Linked DNA regions of Callithrix jacchus. The main gene of each other region encodes a partner of the protein of the gene in region 3 in a complex. Links are inferred from orthologs where the notes say so. Each region holds a gene or a part of one and is shown on either strand. Other genes may lie near its edges.

What was found. Proteins that work in one complex are often made in the same cells at the same time.
Region 1: B9D2 (region 3) and TMEM107 share a complex: the UniProt entries of both Homo sapiens proteins name them as parts of the tectonic-like complex. The link is inferred for Callithrix jacchus from reciprocal best matches to the Homo sapiens genes B9D2 and TMEM107.
Region 2: B9D2 (region 3) and TMEM67 share a complex: the UniProt entries of both Homo sapiens proteins name them as parts of the tectonic-like complex. The link is inferred for Callithrix jacchus from reciprocal best matches to the Homo sapiens genes B9D2 and TMEM67.
Region 4: B9D2 (region 3) and CEP290 share a complex: the UniProt entries of both Homo sapiens proteins name them as parts of the tectonic-like complex. The link is inferred for Callithrix jacchus from reciprocal best matches to the Homo sapiens genes B9D2 and CEP290.

Annotation. Positions count from the first base shown.
Region 1 is NC_133506.1:74,652,109-74,657,229, forward strand, and holds TMEM107 (transmembrane protein 107), read right to left. Parts: upstream 3,430-5,121; 5' UTR 3,305-3,429; coding exon 3,218-3,304; intron 3,042-3,217; coding exon 2,974-3,041; intron 2,874-2,973; coding exon 2,773-2,873; intron 1,352-2,772; coding exon 1,255-1,351; intron 1,034-1,254; coding exon 964-1,033; 3' UTR 789-963; downstream 1-788. UniProt on the Homo sapiens protein: Plays a role in cilia formation and embryonic patterning. Requires for normal Sonic hedgehog (Shh) signaling in the neural tube and acts in combination with GLI2 and GLI3 to pattern ventral and intermediate neuronal cell types.
Region 2 is NC_133517.1:33,426,440-33,431,374, reverse strand, and holds the start of TMEM67 (meckelin), read left to right. Parts: upstream 1-1,506; 5' UTR 1,507-1,525; coding exon 1,526-1,748; intron 1,749-4,935. UniProt on the Homo sapiens protein: Required for ciliary structure and function. Part of the tectonic-like complex which is required for tissue-specific ciliogenesis and may regulate ciliary membrane composition.
Region 3 is NC_133523.1:36,633,413-36,637,884, reverse strand, and holds the end of B9D2 (B9 domain-containing protein 2), read left to right. Parts: intron 1-3,235; coding exon 3,236-3,549; 3' UTR 3,550-3,830; downstream 3,831-4,472. UniProt on the Homo sapiens protein: Component of the tectonic-like complex, a complex localized at the transition zone of primary cilia and acting as a barrier that prevents diffusion of transmembrane proteins between the cilia and plasma membranes.
Region 4 is NC_133510.1:93,048,955-93,053,972, forward strand, and holds the start of CEP290 (centrosomal protein of 290 kDa), read left to right. Parts: upstream 1-1,589; 5' UTR 1,590-1,780; intron 1,781-2,340; 5' UTR 2,341-2,367; coding exon 2,368-2,469; intron 2,470-2,620; coding exon 2,621-2,698; intron 2,699-4,075; coding exon 4,076-4,145; intron 4,146-4,444; coding exon 4,445-4,491; intron 4,492-5,018. UniProt on the Homo sapiens protein: Involved in early and late steps in cilia formation. Its association with CCP110 is required for inhibition of primary cilia formation by CCP110.

The DNA.
Region 1 (5,121 bases), on a different chromosome or scaffold from region 3:
CTAAGACGAGGTAAGCGTCAAAGGATAAAGAAAAATAGAAGTCCGTTTTGTATTACCGAAACTCCTTAATTCCAGAAAGAAATTTCTTAATAACAGAGAGCCACATCACAATTTTCAAGAACAGACAAACCTGAGCGACACCACACAACAATCAAAAAACCGCTAGCCACAACACTCCAAGAGTTATTTTAGTTCTAATATTTAACACGAAACAACGAAAAAAAAAAAAGATCGTCAGGAGAATTCAGATAGGAGTAACCAGGGTGTTGTAAGTCCCGATTACGCAGAGACGTTAATCACGTTTCATGCACCTCCAATCATCATGTTTTATCTGTCCTCCGAAGAGGAACAGGTAAGGATTATCCCACCTGACGATATCTTAATAAACGGCGGATATTCCGGACTCAGTGAAAGAGATTCCGTTAAAAGCTAGGGTGAGTATACAACGCGTCGGTACGAGCCACCTTGCTATTTAACATCCTTCCAATTGTATTGCTATATTTGCTTTCATCTCTTTTAAAATAATTTTTTTCATTCAGCTGAGAAAAGGAATAAATTATTTCTTCCCAGAATGCTCCAATCATTTACGTGCTGGACGTTCTAACTGTATGCACTTTTATTTACATATCCCCGCCCACTTCCTTCCCCCAGACGTCTACCGTAATAACCAAAATAGAAGCGATATCAAGTATCTTACGGTCTGCAGGACTAGAAAACAGCGTAGTTGTTTTTTTCTTCAATAGTTAAGCCATCCCAATTGTCCCCTGAAAACTATATAACTCTTGATCTTACTACAAAACATATTTTATTACAAAACACTAAATACAATGCTGATAATCCCATACATCCAACACATATCCTCTAGCAGAAGCAGTTTCCAAGGGGAAGACTGAAGCCTATGCCTTTCTTCTTCCAGGAATACGAAGCGGCCTCCCATGTAGCCTTCGACCATCAGGAAGGTGATCAGAAAGGTTTCTTTTTCAGCCCAAAGATGGCGATGAATAAAGCCATTTCAGTGACAGCTGGAAGGGCACTACCGAAGCAGGTGGTAGATTCAGAAATCCTTTCAATATAAATATGCAAATCTCCAAACTAGAGACCCCACCCCTGAAAGTATAGGGCAGGTGGCATGGGGATGGGGGATGAAAAAGACTACAGGATCTCATGCATGGAAGAAGGGACCGGGTGGGGGAAAACTTTCAGATTTAGGGTAAACCTTCCTCCCTCATCCCCAAATATTGGGTGTTACCACACCTGCAGAAGAAAAAAATGTACCAATACGTAGTGCACTCCCAACGCTCAAATATGAAGAAGGACAGGGCCACGGATGCACTACAGTGAGCCCCAATGGCTTGGGAAGGCACCACAGTTAAGGAAAGTCTTTGGATCGACAGATAGTGATGGATCAGAAAACATCAGTGGTGGGGTTGGCATCTGCACTCAGGTTCATCGCTTGCTCCCTCACCATATTGCAAGGGCTAGAGTCAGCAGCCCTGACTTCTGAATTGTAGGATGGTCATATGAGGAGAGACCAGAAGTAACTGCATAGATGGGACCTCAGGCTAGCCTACCCCACATCTAGAGGCCAGCTTGGACCCTTCAGATGAGAGGTAAGAGTAGGCTCTCCTACCATGCCACACAGGAGTGCTGACAGCGAATTGATATGCTCTGCTGGAATCAGCCTCCAGGGTTCTAGCACTCCTGGTTCACAGTTCTCTGACCCACGTGCTTCATTTCCTTTGCCATTTCTGAGTTCCCATTGTGCTTTCTACCTTTTGTTTGTTTGTTTGTTTGTTTGTTTGTTTGAGACAGAGTCTCACTTTGTCACCAGGCACCAGGCTGGAGTGCAGTGGCACAATCTCGGCTCACTGCAACCTCCGCCTCCCGGGTTCAAGCAATTCTCCTGCCTCAGCCTCCTGAGTAGCTGGGACTACAGGCACACGCCACCACGCCCAGCTAATTTTTGAATTTTTAGTAGAGACGGGGTTTCACCATGTTGGCCAGGATGGTCTCAATCTCTTGACCTCGTGATCCACCTGCCTCGGCCTCCCAAAGTGCTGGGATTACAGGCTTGAGCCACCGTGTCCCGCTTGTTTGTTTTTTGACGGAGTCTCACTCTGTTGCCCAGGCTAGAGTGCAGTGGCTCAACCTCGGCTCACTGCAACTTCTGCCTCCCAGGTTCAAGCAATTTTCCTGCCTCAGCCTCCTGAGTAGCTGGGGTTACAGGTGTGCCGTCACCACGCCCGGCTAATTTTTGTATTTTTAGTAGAGAATGGTGTTTCACCATGTTGGTCAGGCTGGTCTCAAACTCATGACTTCAAATGATCCACCTGTCCTGGCCTCCCAAAGTTGCTTGAAATAAAGGCGTGAGCCACCGCGCCCACCCCTCTTTACACACTCCTATAGCACCCTGCTTATCACTGAATTACAGATATGTGTCTGCCTCCTCCTCATGATAAACAAAAAAGGTGAAGTTCTCATTATTACTATTATTTTTGTAGACATAGGGTCTCACTATGATGCCTCAAGCAATCCTCCTGCCTGGGCCTCCCACACTGCTGGGAATACAGACATGAGTCAACGTGCCTGGCCGAAAACTGTTTTACTCTCATTTTGGGATTTTAAGTGCCTAGTAAACAGCAGGATTTAGCACATGTTTGAAGATATCCGAACTGGAGAGATTGGTTACAGCAGACACTATGGTGTCAGGTGGCTGAAGGGAGTCCTGATGGAAATGGTCGTGTGGGAAAGGTGAGCAGGAGGAAAGGATACAGATGAGGCTCTGGGTGCTGTTGAACATGGAGACTCCTAGAAGGAAACCGGCCAGCTCCACTGCAAAGAGGCCCAGAGTGACAGAGAGCGCGGCCACCAGCCTGCAGAAAGGAAGTGGACAGCCTCAGGCCCTTGGACTTCTAAGAACCCTCCACTCCCACCACCTCTCCGTTCTGACCAGCCCATTCCGAGAGAGCTCACTGAATGTCCTGCTTTTCATACTCCTCGGGGGTGAACCTGAGAGGCAGGCAGGCCTGGATGTTGCTGTCCTGGGAGCAGAGCAGAGAGGAAGAGAAGTGAAAAAGGGACGGGCGGCGAGGCAGGCCTGGGGGCGGCGGGGAACGAGAAGACCTAAGTGGGTAAGACACTGGGAGAGGGGCAAGATGGGGCTGGGACCACTCCGAGGTGGGAATAGGGGCGGACGGATGTCAGCCGTGGGTCTTACCCGGGACCAGAATAAGGTGATGACGACCACCAGATGCGCCAGGAGCGTCAGGAAGCGAGAAGGTACGAGCCCTGAGACCCGGCCCATGGCCCTTGGAAACAGGGGCGGCGGTCTCAGAGGCCGGAATTTCAAAGAGAGCGACTCCTGAAGTCTCCCTGCAAGCGGACAAAATCTAGACGAACGCCTCCTTCCCGCCCGCTCAGGCACCGCCCAGTTACCTTGGTAACTCCGTACGCGAACGCGGCGCCGCGTTCTCGAAAAACATCGCGAGAGCAGTATATTCTCAAGCTGCTGCTGGCCTCTTCCGGCTTGCGCAGGTCAGGGCTTCCCCGAATGCCATTCTAACCCAACGTTTGGGTATCCGCGCGTAGCCAAGCCCTTTGTTCCTGAGAGGGTGCGAGGTGGCACGGCCCCGCAGCGCCCGATCTACCCGCCCAGGACCGACGAACGGAAACCGACCTGGGCTAGCCTGGGGGCACCTCGGCTTCCGCAGTTGCCGGGAGCGGCCCCCAGCCCCTTCTACACCGACAATTGTGGATCTCCTGAGGCCGCGCCACCGCCATGCCGGGCTGAGGTCCGGGTCCCCGCCATGCCGAAGACTCAGACACGCTCCCCTTCCCCTCCTCCGTATGCCTTTAGCTTCCCACCAAGCTGGCCTCAGAAACAAGGGTCCCGAACTTGGAGAGGCGGTGTCCCTAGACTGCTCAGCAGTCACAGATTGTCACGGAGCCCCTGGATGTCTGAGGACCCCAGGCCTGAACTTTCCTTGAGGAAGACTGATTTCTCTCAGTCTAACTTTGCTCAGTTTGGTGAGGGATTTGCAGAGTGCAAAAAATGGCAGAGCAAGGGGACCGGAAAGGGTGGGAGTGGATGGAGGGAATGGACAGTCCCTGCATCCCTGGGAGGCTTGGAGCTGACTGGAACGGAAACTCAAATCAGATTTCTTTATCTCTTGGAGGTGCTGGGCCTCCGACATTACCCAGCTACAGTCCAAGAAGCTCTTATCATCGGCAACCTCATGACCTTTGGGTTTCAGCGCAGGTCCCCGCTGATCGGAAAGCTCTTTCTTCTCGCAATGCTGTCAAGTCCCATTCTCAAGGGTCCTCCCGGCTCATTTCCCCGGAGAACAACCGCTTCCTCTTCCTCACTCCCCGTCTCAGTGCCTTTAGCCAGTCTAAATATATGCCCAAGAGGCATTTCTCATTTCTTCAAATATTGTTTGTATTTACTGATTACCTAGTAGGTGGATTCTAGTCAGGGAGATCAATAATAGACATGCAAACAAATCCGCAAGATACTATATGCTATGAAAAGGGAAACGCTACAATTATAATTCTATAAAAAGAATGGGGCATTTGTTCTTAAACTTTATTTTAGAAAATTTGGCGCAGTAGCTCATGGCCGTAATCCCAGCACTTTAGGAGGCCAAGGCGGGCAGATCACCTGAGGTCAGGAGTTCTAGACCAGCCTGATCAACATGGTGAAAACCGGTCTCTACTAAAAATATAAAAATTAGCTGGGCATGATGGCGAGCACCTGTAATTCCAGCTACTCGGGAGGCTGAGGCAGGAGAATTTCTTGAATCCTGGAGGTGGAGGTTGCAGTGAGGCGAGATCGCGCCACTGCACTCCAGCCTGGGCGACAGAGCGAGACTCTGTCTCAAAAAAAAAAAAAAAAAAAGAACAGGCCGGGTGCAGTGGCTCACACCTGTAATCCCAGCACTTTGGAAGGCCAAGTCGGGAGGAGCACAAGGTCTGGAATTCGAGACTAGCTTGGGCAACATGGTGAACCCTCGTCTCTACTAAAGATACAAGGGGGGAAAAAATGGCCCGATGTGGTGGTGGCGCATCTGTAGTCCCAGCTACTCGTGAGGCCGAGGCAGGAGAATCGCTTGAGCCCGGGAG
Region 2 (4,935 bases), on a different chromosome or scaffold from region 3:
CATAAAATTCTTATGCTTTCTCCTGAATAGTTCCTTTATTCATCCTCTCCTGCCTCTCTCTTCCTCCATTGCTCCAATTTAGACTCTAGATTTCCATCTTTGCCTTACAAATGGTCTCTACTTCTAACAGTTTCCATATATTTGTCCAGGATTTTTCTTTTTTGCGTGTGACTGTGTCTCTCTTTGACATCCATGCTGGAGTACAGTGGCACAATCACAGCTCATTGCAGCCTTGACCTCCTGAGCTTAAATGGTTCTCCCGCCTCAGCCAGCCAAGTAGCTGGGACCGTAGCCATGTGCCACCCAACCAGCTAATTAAAATAAATTGCATTTGCAGAGATGGAATCTCACTATGTTGCCCAGGTTGGTCTTGAATTCCTGGACTCAGACAATCCTTCCACAGTGGACTCCCAAATGTTAGTATTAGGGGCATGAGCCACAGCACCAGGCTTAGATTATTTTATTCACAAGAGATGTAAAGATTATTTCAATTTATATACAAGTCAACTAAAGAAAAAATAAGGCTTTTAAAGACTCAAAGTTAGTTTTTTTCAGAGTCTTACTGAGGAATGCCACCCTGGAGAGTCTTTCAAAGAGTTTATGTTAGACTGCTCCAGAGCAGCGTTTCTGCCCACAGTTTTTATATCAAGGGGTGGAGTTCTGGATGCGCTCAAAAGTTACATTAAACATGCTCAGAAGTTACATTGGAGCAAAATCTCATCAAAGTTTTGGTTGGAGAGTACATCTGGTTATAGATTACAGAGACATAATCAAAATCATTAATCCTGTCAGTCGTTATCTTATGTACAGGAAGAGGCAAGGGCCAGGATCACTGAACGTATCTTTTTTAAAAAAATGAAGTGATTCAAGCAACAGATGTGGAAACCTGTGCTCTATTCTACTTATTGTCTGTAGGGCATTCTTCTGGAGGACTTCGTTCAGTCACTGAGTCAAGGGCTTTGTGAAATTCCGCTGGCAACAGAATGAGTAAACAGTTTTCTTCCGCTTCGTACTTTGTCTCACATACATGATTTCCTGTGCTCAAACCTGGCAGGAAAGATTTTTTTAAAAATTTTCAATCTTTTCTCTATAGTAATCCTTCACTGGGTTTTAAGTCAGTGTGTTGTTATTTTTTGTTATTATTTTTTTTTTTTTGACGGACTGTCAAATTGTTAAACAAGTTTCCTTTAAGGTTAAAATCACCTAGTCTGAATAAATTCTGATGTAAATATAATTCAATAAATTATGATATTTTCAATTTATGATGGATTTATTGCGGGGAGGCGGTAACCCTGTCGTAAGTCGAGGAGCTCTGCACAAGTTCAAAAATACCGTTGGGCTTTAGCCGGCCTTTAACCCATTCTTTACTGGACTTGTCAACTTCCGTCAGGATTGGTAACCTAGCAACCAAGCAGCACCAGCAGAGACTTCCGGTACCCAAACTTGGGTTATCCAATCAGCTTAGCGGAGTTACCGCAGAGGCTGATGGGACGCTGGAGCCTGGGCGGCTGCTAGCGTCGGTACCATGGCTACGCGCGGTGGGGTTGGGGTGGCAATGGCGGCTTGGTCCCTTTTATCTGCCCGAGCCGTGACTGCGTTCCTTCTGTTGTTACTCCCTCGCATCTTACAGGCCCAGACCTTCTCTCTCCCTTTCCAGCAGCCGGAAAATTGCGATAACAACCAGTACTTTGATATCTCCGCGCTCTCCTGTGTTCCGTGTGGAGCTAACCAGAGGCAGGATGCCCGAGGTAAGACGGCTTGAAGTGGGCCCTGGCAAAAGTAACACTTCCGCCTTGGTCTGCCCCTAGTCTCTGGAGTCATTCAAACACCTTTTCGTCTGCAGTAGAAATGTATCAGAAAAGTTAACCGCGGAAGTCTCAGAAGAGGGTTTTCTGGAAGGATTGCAGTTTGCACACGAATGAAGTGGGAGATTCTGAGTCGGCTACCCAATGAACCGTTGCCTGTAGTTCGTTTCTCGGTGCCAGTCCCCGACTCCTCATACGGGGGTCTTCAGGGCGACACCCGGAATGCTGTTTACCGAAGATAGAGAAGAACTAGTAGAGAAGTAATCTGAGGTAAACGGGAGCAGGTGACAGGAAAGATTAGGGAGGAAGAACAAACTAGCACTTGTGAACCTCAATAGCCCTACATCATTTTTTTCCTTTCTTTGTTTCTTTTTTTTTTTTGGACGGAGTCTCGCTGTGTCACCCAGGCTGGAGTGCAATAGTGCGATATCGGCTCACTGCCACTTCCACCTCCCGGGTTCAAGCGATTTTCTTGCCTCAACCTCCTGAGTAGTATGTATGTATGTATGTATATACAGGCGTCCGCCATCACGCCCGGCTAATTTTTTATTTTATTATTTTATTTTATTAGAGACAGGATTTCACCATGTTGGTCATGCTGGTCTCAAACTCCTGCCCTTGTGATCTGCCCATCCCAAAGTGCTAGGATTACAGGCATGAGCCACTGCACCCGGTCAGCCCTACATTTTTCTTTTCAAATCCCAGACGTTTAGAACTGGAAAGGACCTTAATCATAATCAGATCCAGTCTTCTCATTTTACGGATAAGGACATTCAGGCCCAGATGGGGACTGAAAGAATAAATATCCCTGCTCTCAGTCTTGACCTATGTGTTTTCACGATTCCTCCCTCCCTCCTTCCTTTCCTTTCTCAGTCTTGGCCTGTGTGTTTTCACTATACTGTTTGTTTCTTTCTCTCTCTCTCTCTCTCTCTCTCTCATCTCTCTCTCTCTCTGCCTGTGTGTTTTCACCATACCCTCCCTTCCTCCCTCCCTCCCTCTCTCTCTCTCTTTCTTTTCTTTCTTTGTCTTTCTTTCATTTCTCTTTATTTTCTTTTATTTTAGTTTCTTCTCTGACAAAGTCTGGCTCTGTCACCCAGGTAGAGTGCCCTGGCTCAATCTTGGCTCACAGCAGCCTCTACCTCCTGGCCTCAAGCCATCCTCCTCCCACCTCAACCTCCCAAATAGCTGGGATTACAGGACCTCACCAGTTTTTTTGTAGAGATGGGGTTTTTGCCATGTTGAGGCTGGTCTCAAACTTGTGAGTTCAAATGATCATCCACCTTGGCCTCCCAAAGTGCTGGGATTAAAAGAGTGAGCCACTGAGCCTGACCCATACTATGCTGTATGCCTCTAATACAGATTTCCTTAGGACTTGTCCTTTTTATCATAGAATATTACTCATTATTCTTAAGGTCTCTTTAGATTAAATCTATTTTTTATACCTAAAACATCATTTGTTCCTAGTTCTCACTGAAACTGCTCAGAATGTCTTTTCCCATATTCTAAAGTCTAAGATGTTTTCTTTTCTTTTCTTTTTTGAGACGGAGTTTTGCTCTTGTTACCCAGGCTGGAGTGCAATGGCATGATCTCAGCTCACCGCAACCTCCGCCTCCTGGGTTCAGGCAATTCTCCTGCCTCAGCCTCCTGAATAGCGGGAATTACAGGCACGTGCCACCATGCCCAGCTAATTTTTTGTATTTTTAGTAGAGACGGGGTTTCACCTTGTTGACCAGGATGATCTTGATCTCTTGACCTCGTGATCCACCGGCCTTGCCCTCCTAAAGTGCTGGGATTACAGGCTTGAGCCACCGCACCCGGCAAAGATGTTAAGATGTTTTCTATCTCAATTTGGTCACCCATGTTATTAACTTTCTGGCATGTTCAGCTTTGACATATCCTCATTTAAGTTCTCGAACAGGTCAGGCTACACATGTATGGCAATATGAATGAGAAAGCATTTCAGAAGTTAAAATGTAAGATATTTTTTCATATTTATGAATATGGAAAGGTATAGTTCCATATCTATGAATCCAGATATGGTATGTATTATACTACATAGACTCCTATGAGTGCTGCTTCTACCTAATGACTCCTTAGAGAATGCTGTCCTTATCTATACTGCAAATTGAATAGTGATTATCTTACTATGTTTACTATCTATCTTAACAGAGAGAAACAGTGATTTATTTGAATGAAGGCAACTTCCCTAATAAGGAAAGTAATTAAGAAAATGAGTTTTCTTCTCATTTTACAGATAAAGACATTGAAGCCCAGATTGGGAACTGGAAACATTCATATTTGTTTGCTCTCAGTGTTGACCTATATGTTTTTACTATACTGTATATTTCTTTTTTTTATTTTATTTTAATTAATTAATTTATTTATTTATTTGAGACGGTGTTTCACTCTTGTTACCCAGGCTGGAGTGCAATGGCGTGATCTCGGCTCACCGCAACCTCTGCCTCCTGGGTTCAGGCAATTCTCCTGCCTCAGCCTCCTGAGTAGCTGGGATTACAGGCATGCGCCACCATGCCCAGCTAATTTTTTGCATTTTTAGTAGATATGGGGTTTCACCATGTTGACCAGGATGGTCTCGATCTCTTGACCTCGTGATCCACCCACCTCGGCCTCCCAAAGTGCTGGGATTACAGGTGTGAGCCACCGCACCCGGCCCCTATTTCTTTCTTTTGTTTTGAGAGGGAGTCTTGCTTTGTTGCCAGGCTGGATGCAGTGGCCCAGTCTCGGCTCACTGCAACCTCTGTCTCCCAGGTTCAAGTGATTCTCTTGCCTCAGCTTCCGGACTAGCTGTGATTACAGGCGTGCACCACCATGCACAACTAATTTTTGTATTTTTAGTAGAGACAAGGTTTCACTATATTGGCCAGAGTGGTGTTATTTTTAGTAGAGACAGGGTTTCACCATGTTGGCCAGGATAGTCTTGATCTCATCACCTCGTGATCCACCCACCTAGGCCTCCCAAAGTGCTGGGATTACAGGCATGAGCCACTATGCCTGGCTGTATGTGTGTATGTATGTATGATTTCCTTCCTTCCTTCCTTCCTTCCTTCCTTCCTTCCTTCCTTCCTTCCTTCCTTCCTTCCTCTCTCTCTTTCTTCTTTCTTTCTCTCAC
Region 3 (4,472 bases):
TTTTTTGAGACGGAGTTTCGCTTTTGTTACCCAGGCTGGAGTGCAATGGCGCGATCTCGGCTCACCGCAACCTCCGCCTCCTGGGTTCAGGCAATTCTCCTGCCTCAGCCTCCCGAGTAGCTGGGATTACAGGCACGCGCCACCATGCCCAGCTAATTTTTTGTATTTTAGTAGAGACGGGGTTTCACCATGTTGACCAGGTTGGTCTCGATCTCTCGACCTCGTGATCCACCCGCCTCGGCCTCCCAAAGTGCTGGGATTACAGACGTGAACTACCGCGCTCGGCCCCAAGATTTCACTTTTTGTCTTTGAGATGCAGTTTGACTTTTGTTGCCCAGACTGGAGTGCTCTCGGCCCACTGCAACCTCTACCTCTCAGGTTCAAGTGATTCTCCTGCCTTAGCCTCCCCAGTAGCTGGGATCACAGGCATGTGCCACCACTCCCAGCTAATTTTGTATTTTTAGAAGAGTCGGGCTTTCTCCATGTTGGTCAGGCTGGTCTCAAACTCCCAACCTCAGGTGATCCACCTGCCTCAGCCTTTCAAAGTGCTGGGATTATAGGCGTGAGCCACTGGGCCTGGCCGAGATTTCACCTTTTTAAAAAAAAAAAAAATTATTTATTTATTTATTTATTTATAGAGTTGGGGTTTCACTATGTTGGCCAGGCTGCTCTCAAACTCTTGACCTCGTGATCTACCCACCTTGGCCTCCCAAAGTGCTGGGATTACAGGTGTGAGCCACTGAGCCTGGCCTGAGATTTCACTTTTAAATAATCTTTCTGTCCTTTAAGCTGGAGCTGGGGAAAAAAAAAATCTTTCTGGGTGCTGTGTGGGTGAGGTGGGAAGCTCTAACCTTTCATCTCTTGGGGACCCTACTCCCCCAGTGGTGGCACCAGCCTTGCTTTCTCTTTACTCAAGCCTCCATCAGGAAATCTTACTGCCTCTACTCTTGAAATACATCTTACATCCCACTTCTCACCTCTTTTCTTGCCCTGCACCTTGATCTGTCCAAGTTCATCTCTCACCTGGGCTATGACAGCAACCTCGCCTCGGGGCCCCCTTCTCTAACCCCCTCGTCTGCACCCCACATGCAGCTGGGACCCTGTGAACACGTAAGTCAGGTCCCATCTCTGCTCAGACCATCCCCTAGTCCCCCTTTCACTCAGGGTAAAAGCCAAAGTCGGCCGGGTGTGGCAGCTAATGCCTTTAGTTCCAGCATTTTGGGAGGCTGGAGCCGGTGGATCACCAGAGGTCAGGAGATCAAGACCAGCCTGTGCAACATGGTGAAACCCTGTCTCAATAAAAAATAAATAAATAAAATTTAAAAAGAAGAAAAAAAAAGCCAAAGTCTTACCATGCATCCCAAGGCTCTGAACAGCCTGGCTGGCACCTCCATCCCTTCTCCCCACCTCGTTCTGCTCTGGCTGTGCTGTCCCCACCAGCTGCATTCCATCGGGGCTCCAGCCATACCATCCCCACCAGACACTCCCCCTTCAGGGCCTTGACACAAGCTGTTGCCTCTGGCTGGGAGCACTCTTCCTCTAGATATCCACACGGCCTACTCCCTTCCTTCCTTTTTTTTTGAGATGGAGTCTTGCCCAGGCTGGAGTGCAGTGGTGCGTGATCTTGGCTCAGTGCAACCTCCGCCTCCCAGGTTCAAGTGATTCCCCGGCCTCAGCCTCCCGAGTAGCTGGGACTGCAGGCGCGCACCACCACGTCTGACTGATTTTTGTATTTTTAGTAGAGACGGCGTTCATCATGTTGGTCAGGCTGGTCTTGAACTCCTGACCTCATGAGCTACCCGCCTCGGTCTCCCAAAGTGCTAGGATTACAAGCGTGAGCCATCACTCCCAGCCTGCATCCCTTCCTTTTAGCATTTGCTCAAATGCCACCTTCTTAGTGAAGCTTCCTTGGTCCGCTCCTTGCTAAGGCAGCATCCCCACCCTCGCCCTAACCAACTCTGTTTTTCTCTACACCAATTACCACCAACTGATTTACCCCTGGAATTTGCTTATTTACTACATTGGTTGTCTAGGATATCAGCTTCACAGGGGCAGGAATTTTTGTCTGCCATCCATGTTCATGTTCGCCATGTCCCCTACTAGCTAGAACGGGGCCTAGCACAGGGGAAGGGGCTCAGCATGACATGAGATGGGGGCTGGATCTCCAAGAGCTTTGACTACCAGACTGAGGAGCTGAACTGTGTTCTGAGGACATGGGCAGAGCTATGGAAGGAGAGAAAGATGCTTCCAGAGGCCAGGAGTGGTAGCTTGTGCCTGTAATCCCAGCACTTTGGGAGGCCGAGGCGGGCGGACCATGCAGTCAAGAGATTGAGACCATCCTGACCAACATGGTGAAACCCTATCTCTATAAAAATACAAAAATTGGCTGGCGTGCGGGTGCACACCTGTAATCCCAGCTACTTGGGAGACTGAGACAGGAGAATTGCTTGAACCGGGGAGTTGGAGGTTGCAGTGAGCCAAGATCACACCATTGCACTTCAGCCTGGTTACAGAACAAGACTCCATCTCAAAAAAAGAAAAAAGAAGAAAAGAAAGATGCTTTCATATGCCAGGTGGAAGGTGGATTAGAGAAGGGCAAGAAAGGCCGGGCACCATGGCTCACGCCTGTAATCCCAACACTTTGGGAGGCCAAGGCGGGCAGATCACCTGAGGTCAGGAGTTTGAAACCAGCCTGGCCAACATGGAGAAATCCTATCTCTACTTAAAAAAAAAAAAAAAAAAGAGAGAGAGAAAGGCAAGAAAGAAGGCAAGGCCCTGGGCCCAAAGAGAACAGGGCAGGGACTTGGGGAGGGAAGGCAGGAGGCGTCCCTGACAAGGCCCACGATGGTGACCTGGGGACTGGAAGAGCAATGGGCTGCCCTAACATGGGGTCACGGAGGAGGCGACCACAGAGAGGAAAGTCAACAGAGGCCTGATGAGAAGGGTCTTGAATGTCAAGAAGCTTGAGCTTTGTACCAAGGGCACTGGGGAGCTATGGAAGGATCTTGAGCAGGGTGAGTAACATCGATTTGTAAAGATCTGTTTGGCCTTTGTGTGAGGGTAGATGAGAGGGTGGGAGCCTAAAAAGGAGGCTGGGTTGGAAACCCTAGGACAGAAACCCAGAGAGGAAGGGACTGGCCCTGGGGTGCCCAGTGGGCATTGAGGAGGAGGGAATCAGGGGCAGGAGGCTGGTCCCCACCCATCCCTTCTGTCCCCTCTCCCTCCTTTCCTACAGGCTGGCCCCGGCTCCATTTCCAGGTGTGGTCCCAGGACAGCTTTGGCCGCTGCCAGCTTGCAGGCTATGGATTTTGCCATGTGCCCAGCAGCCCAGGCACCCACCAGCTGGCCTGTCCCACATGGCGGCCCCTTGGCAGTTGGCGGGAACAGCTGGCACGGGCTTTTGTGGGTGGAGGGCCGCAGCTGCTGCATGGGGACACCATCTACAGTGGTGCCGACCGCTATCGCCTGCACACAGCTGCTGGTGGCACCGTGCACCTGGAGATCAGCCTGCTGCTGCGCCACTTCGACCGCTACGGCGTTGAGTGCTGAGGGACCCTGCCTCCAACGCCGCCACCATCACCTGCACTCCTGGATTCCCCGTGAAGGGCAGGATGGCACAGGGGTCAAGAGCATGGACTCTGGAGACCATCAGAGCTGACCCCAGCTAAGATATAGCTCTGCTTCTGTCCTTTCAAGGACCTCTGGCTCACTCTGGACCCAGTTTCTGTATCTGTAAGTTGGGGACAGTAAATGTGTAGGGTCGCAGGATGTTGGGTCAAGAGGCTGCTTGGCACAAGGGAGGTGTTCAGTAAAGGAGAACAATTCTTACAGGTGTCTGCCTCCTGACTCCTCCATTTCTCTGGTGTCCTGTTGTTCCTCCTCCCACTGACACCCTTCCCAGGCCCCCACCGTGACAGACCCTCTTCCCCAGCCTGTGCCTCAGCCTCACACTCTTCCCATTCTGGGTCACCCTCTCCCAGTTGGCTGCCCTGTGTCTCATCCCCCGGATTAAGCCTTCTGCGCCTGGTCCTCTTTCTCTGGTGACCCATACCGCCCGGCAAAACCACAGCGCATCTGGAGCACCCGCTTTGGTGGCGCTTGGCCGCCAGGAGGCAGCACCCTGTTTGTGGGGCGGAGCCGGGGTGCCCGCCCCTTTCCCCCCAGGGCTGAAGGGACCCCCCTCGGAGCCGGCCCACGCGAGATGAAGACGGTGGCCCAGCCCCCCCCATGCCTACCCCCTGGGAGCCGCCCCCGCTCCCGCCCCGTGAGCTTCCTGGGTGGGGCCGGGGCGGCTTCAAACCCCCCCCCCCCCCCCCCCCCCCCCGCCGACCCAGCGGGTCCCCGCCGCCACCGCCCTTCGCGCCCTGGGCCATCTCCCTCCCACCTCCCTCCACGGATCAGCCAGACAGCGAGGGCCCCGGCCGGGGGCAGGGGGGACGCCCCGTCCGGGGCACCCCCCGGCTCAGCCGCCC
Region 4 (5,018 bases), on a different chromosome or scaffold from region 3:
CTTTCCAGAAACTATCTCATGTTAAATTGTGAATTAAAAACACTGAATATGAAGACTATTTAATTCAAATTACTGAGTAAACACTTATAAAATTAAAACATGATAATATTTAATAAAAATAGCATGATTGATGAACAAGCAATTTACAAATACTCGTTTCCCAGAATGTATGAGGAGGTAGTAAGAAGTTAAGAATATGTCCTCCAGCCAGAGAGATCTGTGTTCAATCACGTTATTTAAGTTAGACTACTCAGTTTCTTAGACGGAAAATGAGGACAATGTAAGCACCTATTTTACTGCATTGTAATGAAGAATAAACAAGATTATGAATAGTATTTGGCTATAATCTTTCCGAAAAGTAGTAAAATTGTTCCTATAAATCTGTCTTTAAAATTTATCTCACGAAACCAGTAATTTTTTACTTTGTGCTGAGTTACTTATTTTACTCAAATTGGTGGTTTAAAAAGAAACTCATTACTTATTTTCAAAAGGAAAATTTAGTCAAGTATAGTATTTTTTTTTTTAAGCAGCGTTTAAAATAAAGGTATAGTCCAGATCGTTGGAAATGTCATTTAGATTTAAGTCTACAGCTTCTTAGGAAAGTTAGCTAGAAGTGTATCATACTCCAGCATGGCTGTGAGCAGAGGAATGAGCAAAACTTGCACGAGCAAGAGTGGAAAACACCAGAGAAGGCGCTTTCATGGACGGGCACCCTAGGTAACCAAGCAAGTGAAAACAGTACAGGTGAGTCCTTGGCTCCCTTCTCTCTCCACCCCGGCAGTGGCCCGGACAAGTACTAACCTCTCCACTCTGGAGCCTTCACTTCATACTAGCTCCACAACCTTCAAGCCCCACCATCCACCAAGGGAACTGTACTACAGGTAAGGCAGGCGGGGTCAGAAGATGCCATAATCTCTTGTTAACTCTTCGCTCGCCCCTAAACAGGATCACAGCGGCGTGGCTCTCACTCTAACTACCAAGACAGATTCTGATACCAAACAAGGTTAAAACTTTTTTTCCCCCTTCTTATAGAAGGCTCTGGACGCCGCTTGCAAACGGCTGAAGAGAAGGCGGAGAGTTCCCACTTTTTCAGAATGGGGCCAGGCCCTACGGCCCCAATAGCAGATGCTTCTCTAACCCGGGACTGCTCCCCTCAACTCCTCCCTTTCCGCGGACCGACAGCTCGACTATACCTGGGAGGGGTTCCGCCAGGGGATGGCTTAGGAAAACCTCAGGAAGAGCGGCCCAGCGACTGACGCCACTGAAGCCACAGTCATGGTCTACCTCGTTCAGGCCACCAGCTTCTAAGCGCCTCAGCCGCTGGGCCTCCCGCCTCCCGGTCCTTCTCCGCCGCCCGGGTACCGTCGCAGCCTTACGCATTGCATGCCGGGAGCGCCTTACCTCCTCTCAGAGACTTCAGTTCCCAGCTTGCACAAGCCTCAGGCAGAACTGCAGTCTGGGATTTGCAGTCCTCGTTCCATGCCTTCTCAGCGACCTGAACACCGACTCCTGGGACTCCGACGGAGAATCTAAACGTAAAGTATCACTCATGGTCGTGAACTGTAGGCTCTCCTTGCATCCGGGGCCTTATTCTGGCCTTGGCGGAGTAGGGGTTGGTGTCGCCTAGCAGCAGCTGCCGCTTTGGCTTACTTGGGAACCTTTGGCGGGACACAGAGTCCGCGTGGAACTGCGATAGGGATCTCTGTCAGGGTCTGCGGCCGGGTCCAGCCTGGTGGTTGCGATAGTGAGGGACCTCCGCTGGTTGTCAGGCTTGGTCTAGGTGGGTGGATCCTTGTAAGCAGGGGCAGCGAGTCGCTCCAAGCTCAGGTTCTTTAGCCTCCGGGCCCCTGTGCCACAGCGTAGCTACCCCGCCCCTTCCAGTCTCGGGTCCACAATCCTTCTGCCTTGCTTCGGTTCCTGTGTCTCCCGTACAACTTAACTCATTGCAATTGTTAATGTTCGCATTTTTTTTAGCCCCAATTCTGCTTCTCCGTTGTCAGGCTTCCACAGACCCTTGCCCTTGGCACGATTAGGGTGTTCGAGCGCGTTGAGGGTAGGGAGTGTGGAGGAGGGGATCCAGAATTTTAGTCCTAACTTAGATTAGTTTTAGCAAGGAAGCCGTCACATTTTATTTAGCCGGTAAACTCTCTGACAGTTGGTGCCGACTGCTATAATTTTGACCAAGGCTATTTTGCCCACTTGTCTGTGTTGAGGCTAAGGCATAGCTCTTTGCTAACATCAGAAAGTTGTAATGACATAATCTGCAAAAAATGTAAACTACTAGAACACCAAAAATGCTGTGTACCTTGAAAATGCTAATTTCCACCTGTTTTGTTACAGAGGTGGAGCAAAGTGAAAGAATTCAAGATGCCACCTAATATAAACTGGAAAGAAATAATGAAAGTTGATCCAGATGATTTGCCCCGTCAAGAAGAACTGGCAGATAATTTATTGATTTCCTTATCTAAGGTGTATAATTGATCAATAATAATATATATATATTAACTTATGATTAGTTTATTAATCAAGTATTTTTTGCTGTGACAACTGTAGCCACAATCTGGAAGAGCTCGTATATTTTGTTATAAAATATAAAACATTTGCTTTTCTGTTTATTTAGGTGGAAGTAAATGAGCTAAACAATGAAAAACAAGAAAATGTGATACACCTTTTCAGAATTACTCAGTCACTAATGAAGGTTTGTATATAGTCGGTTTTGATGGTAGGTTTGGCTATTAGAGGAACCATAAAAATCTTTTCTTCTATAAGGTAATCTTTGTGAAAATACTTGATAATATCTACATCACCATTCAAAAATGCAATATATTTAAATGTGGCTTAAGAATTGTAGTGTGTAAAACGTTGCTAGTTTTTACTTAAAGTTTCTAAAAGGGTGTGTAGGGGAAACAGAATGAGTATATTGAAAAATTATATAGGGAGATATATCCTGAGGTCCAAATGACAAATGCAGACAATGGCTGTCTATAGGGATTTGTTAAGAGGGGAAGTGATTTAAGAGGTGTTGGAAAACTTTGCAAAGGATGAAGACTGAGGAGTAGTTTTAGTTAAGTGGAAGGCAATGCAGTGGTAAGATAGTAAGGGAATTCTAGAGCTGTTGGTTACCATAAGTAAATATTGAGAATAGGAAATATGCATATTCTTTACGTTTGAGAAGACAAGGTGCAGCAAGTTTGTAGCAGGCTGTAGAGAAAACAAATCTTGGGTAGGTACTTTGATAGAGACTGTTGAGGGCCTTAAAGATATAGTTTATGCTACCAGCAATTGAGAAGGCAATAAAGGTTTCTGAACCACAGTTGATAGGTACAAAAATATGCCTTAGGAAGGCAAAACAATATATAATATATGACAAATAGAAGGATTACTGGAGCTATATAGACATCACATTATAGAGGAGTTTAAACATGAAATTATGTGTTAGAATAATAACAATTGGAACAGAAAAAAAGTAGTGAAAAAAATTACAAAGGGAGATGTTGTATTACTGGATGTAAGACTTAAGACTTGAGGTAAAAGGGAGAATCAAAAATATTTCATGCTATTAAAAATAGAAATTATAATCTTAAGTAAGAAAGTAAGAAAGTTGCCTGGATTACTGCCTCACGTCCGTAATCCCAGCACTTTGGGTTGCTAAGGCAGGAGAATTGCTTGAGCCTAGGAGTTTGAGACTGGCCTGCATAATACGGCGAATAATACAGTGAGACTTTGTCTCTACGAAAAAATTTAAAGTCTTGCTGATCATGGTGGTATGCACCTGTAGTCCCAGCTACTCAGGAGACTGAAGTGGGAAGTTTGCTTGAGCCTAGGAGGCAGAGGTTGCAGTGAGCTGAGATTGTGTCGCTGCACTCCAGCCTGGGTGACAAAGTGAGGCCCTGTCTCAAAAAAAAAAAAAAAAAAAAAGAAAGAAAAATTATGTATTTATTTAACAAATATTTACTGAAAATCGCCATGTGCCCCCCATTGCTGACACTAAGAATCATAATAAATACAATTTTTGTTTTCAGTGCTTACATTCTAGTACAAAGGCATATTGAAATAACCTTTTTTTAATGTTTAGATGAAAGCTCAAGAAGTAGAGCTGGCTTTGGAAGAAGTAGAAAAAGCTGGAGAAGAACAAGCAAAATTTGGTAAGCAACTTGGAAAAAAGTTTATGGTATTAAATAATAAATTCCATGTGTTCATTAAGCTGTAGAAAATCAAATTTATTCTATAAGATGTATATAGTTTATTTTTAATATATAACATTTACTTAATAATAAGCAATTCTAGACTCCTATTTTATGGATCTGCCATATAATTCTTTTTGATACCTTATAGTCATGATGGAGTCTTTTAAAAGAATTAATTTTGTTATTTAAATTTATTTAAAAGTTTGTTTTGTGGTAGCTAATGTATGAAAACATTTGTCTTTTTTTTTAAAAAACAGAAAATCAATTAAAAACTAAAGTAATGAAACTGGAAAATGAACTGGAGGTATGTCTTTTTGTATTTCCTAGAATGTAATTGTCATAAATTTTATTTTGCATTGTTTTCAAATTTTAAAATTATTATTGGCTGGAAAAGTTATAAGGATGATAGTAATCATGGTTATTTGCTTTTTCAGTATATATTCTCGGATTGAGCATACAGTTGTGAATGAAATTAAAACAGTTAACTGCTATATGGAGCTTGCAGTCTTGGGAAATACATAGAAAGCTTACTAGTAACTGAGGTGGAGCGTGGGTGGGGAGTTGGGGAATAATGACCAAAGGGTTTTATAGAAGTAATTTTTTACAAAGCTGAGGGCTAAAGTATGAATGTATTGTTGAGGAACTAAATTCAGATTCCTGAAAAGGTAGGGATGGATCAGCTTTTGAAACGGATCAGCCTTTGAAAGAAGGAATACCCTTTTCCTTGTGTTAGGAGAGAAGGAAGAGTAGATGAGGGGAGGAACAGTAGATGTATGTAGAAGCCTTTATGTTTGTAGGCATAGTGCCTGGAAGTTGAGAGGTCAGTGATGA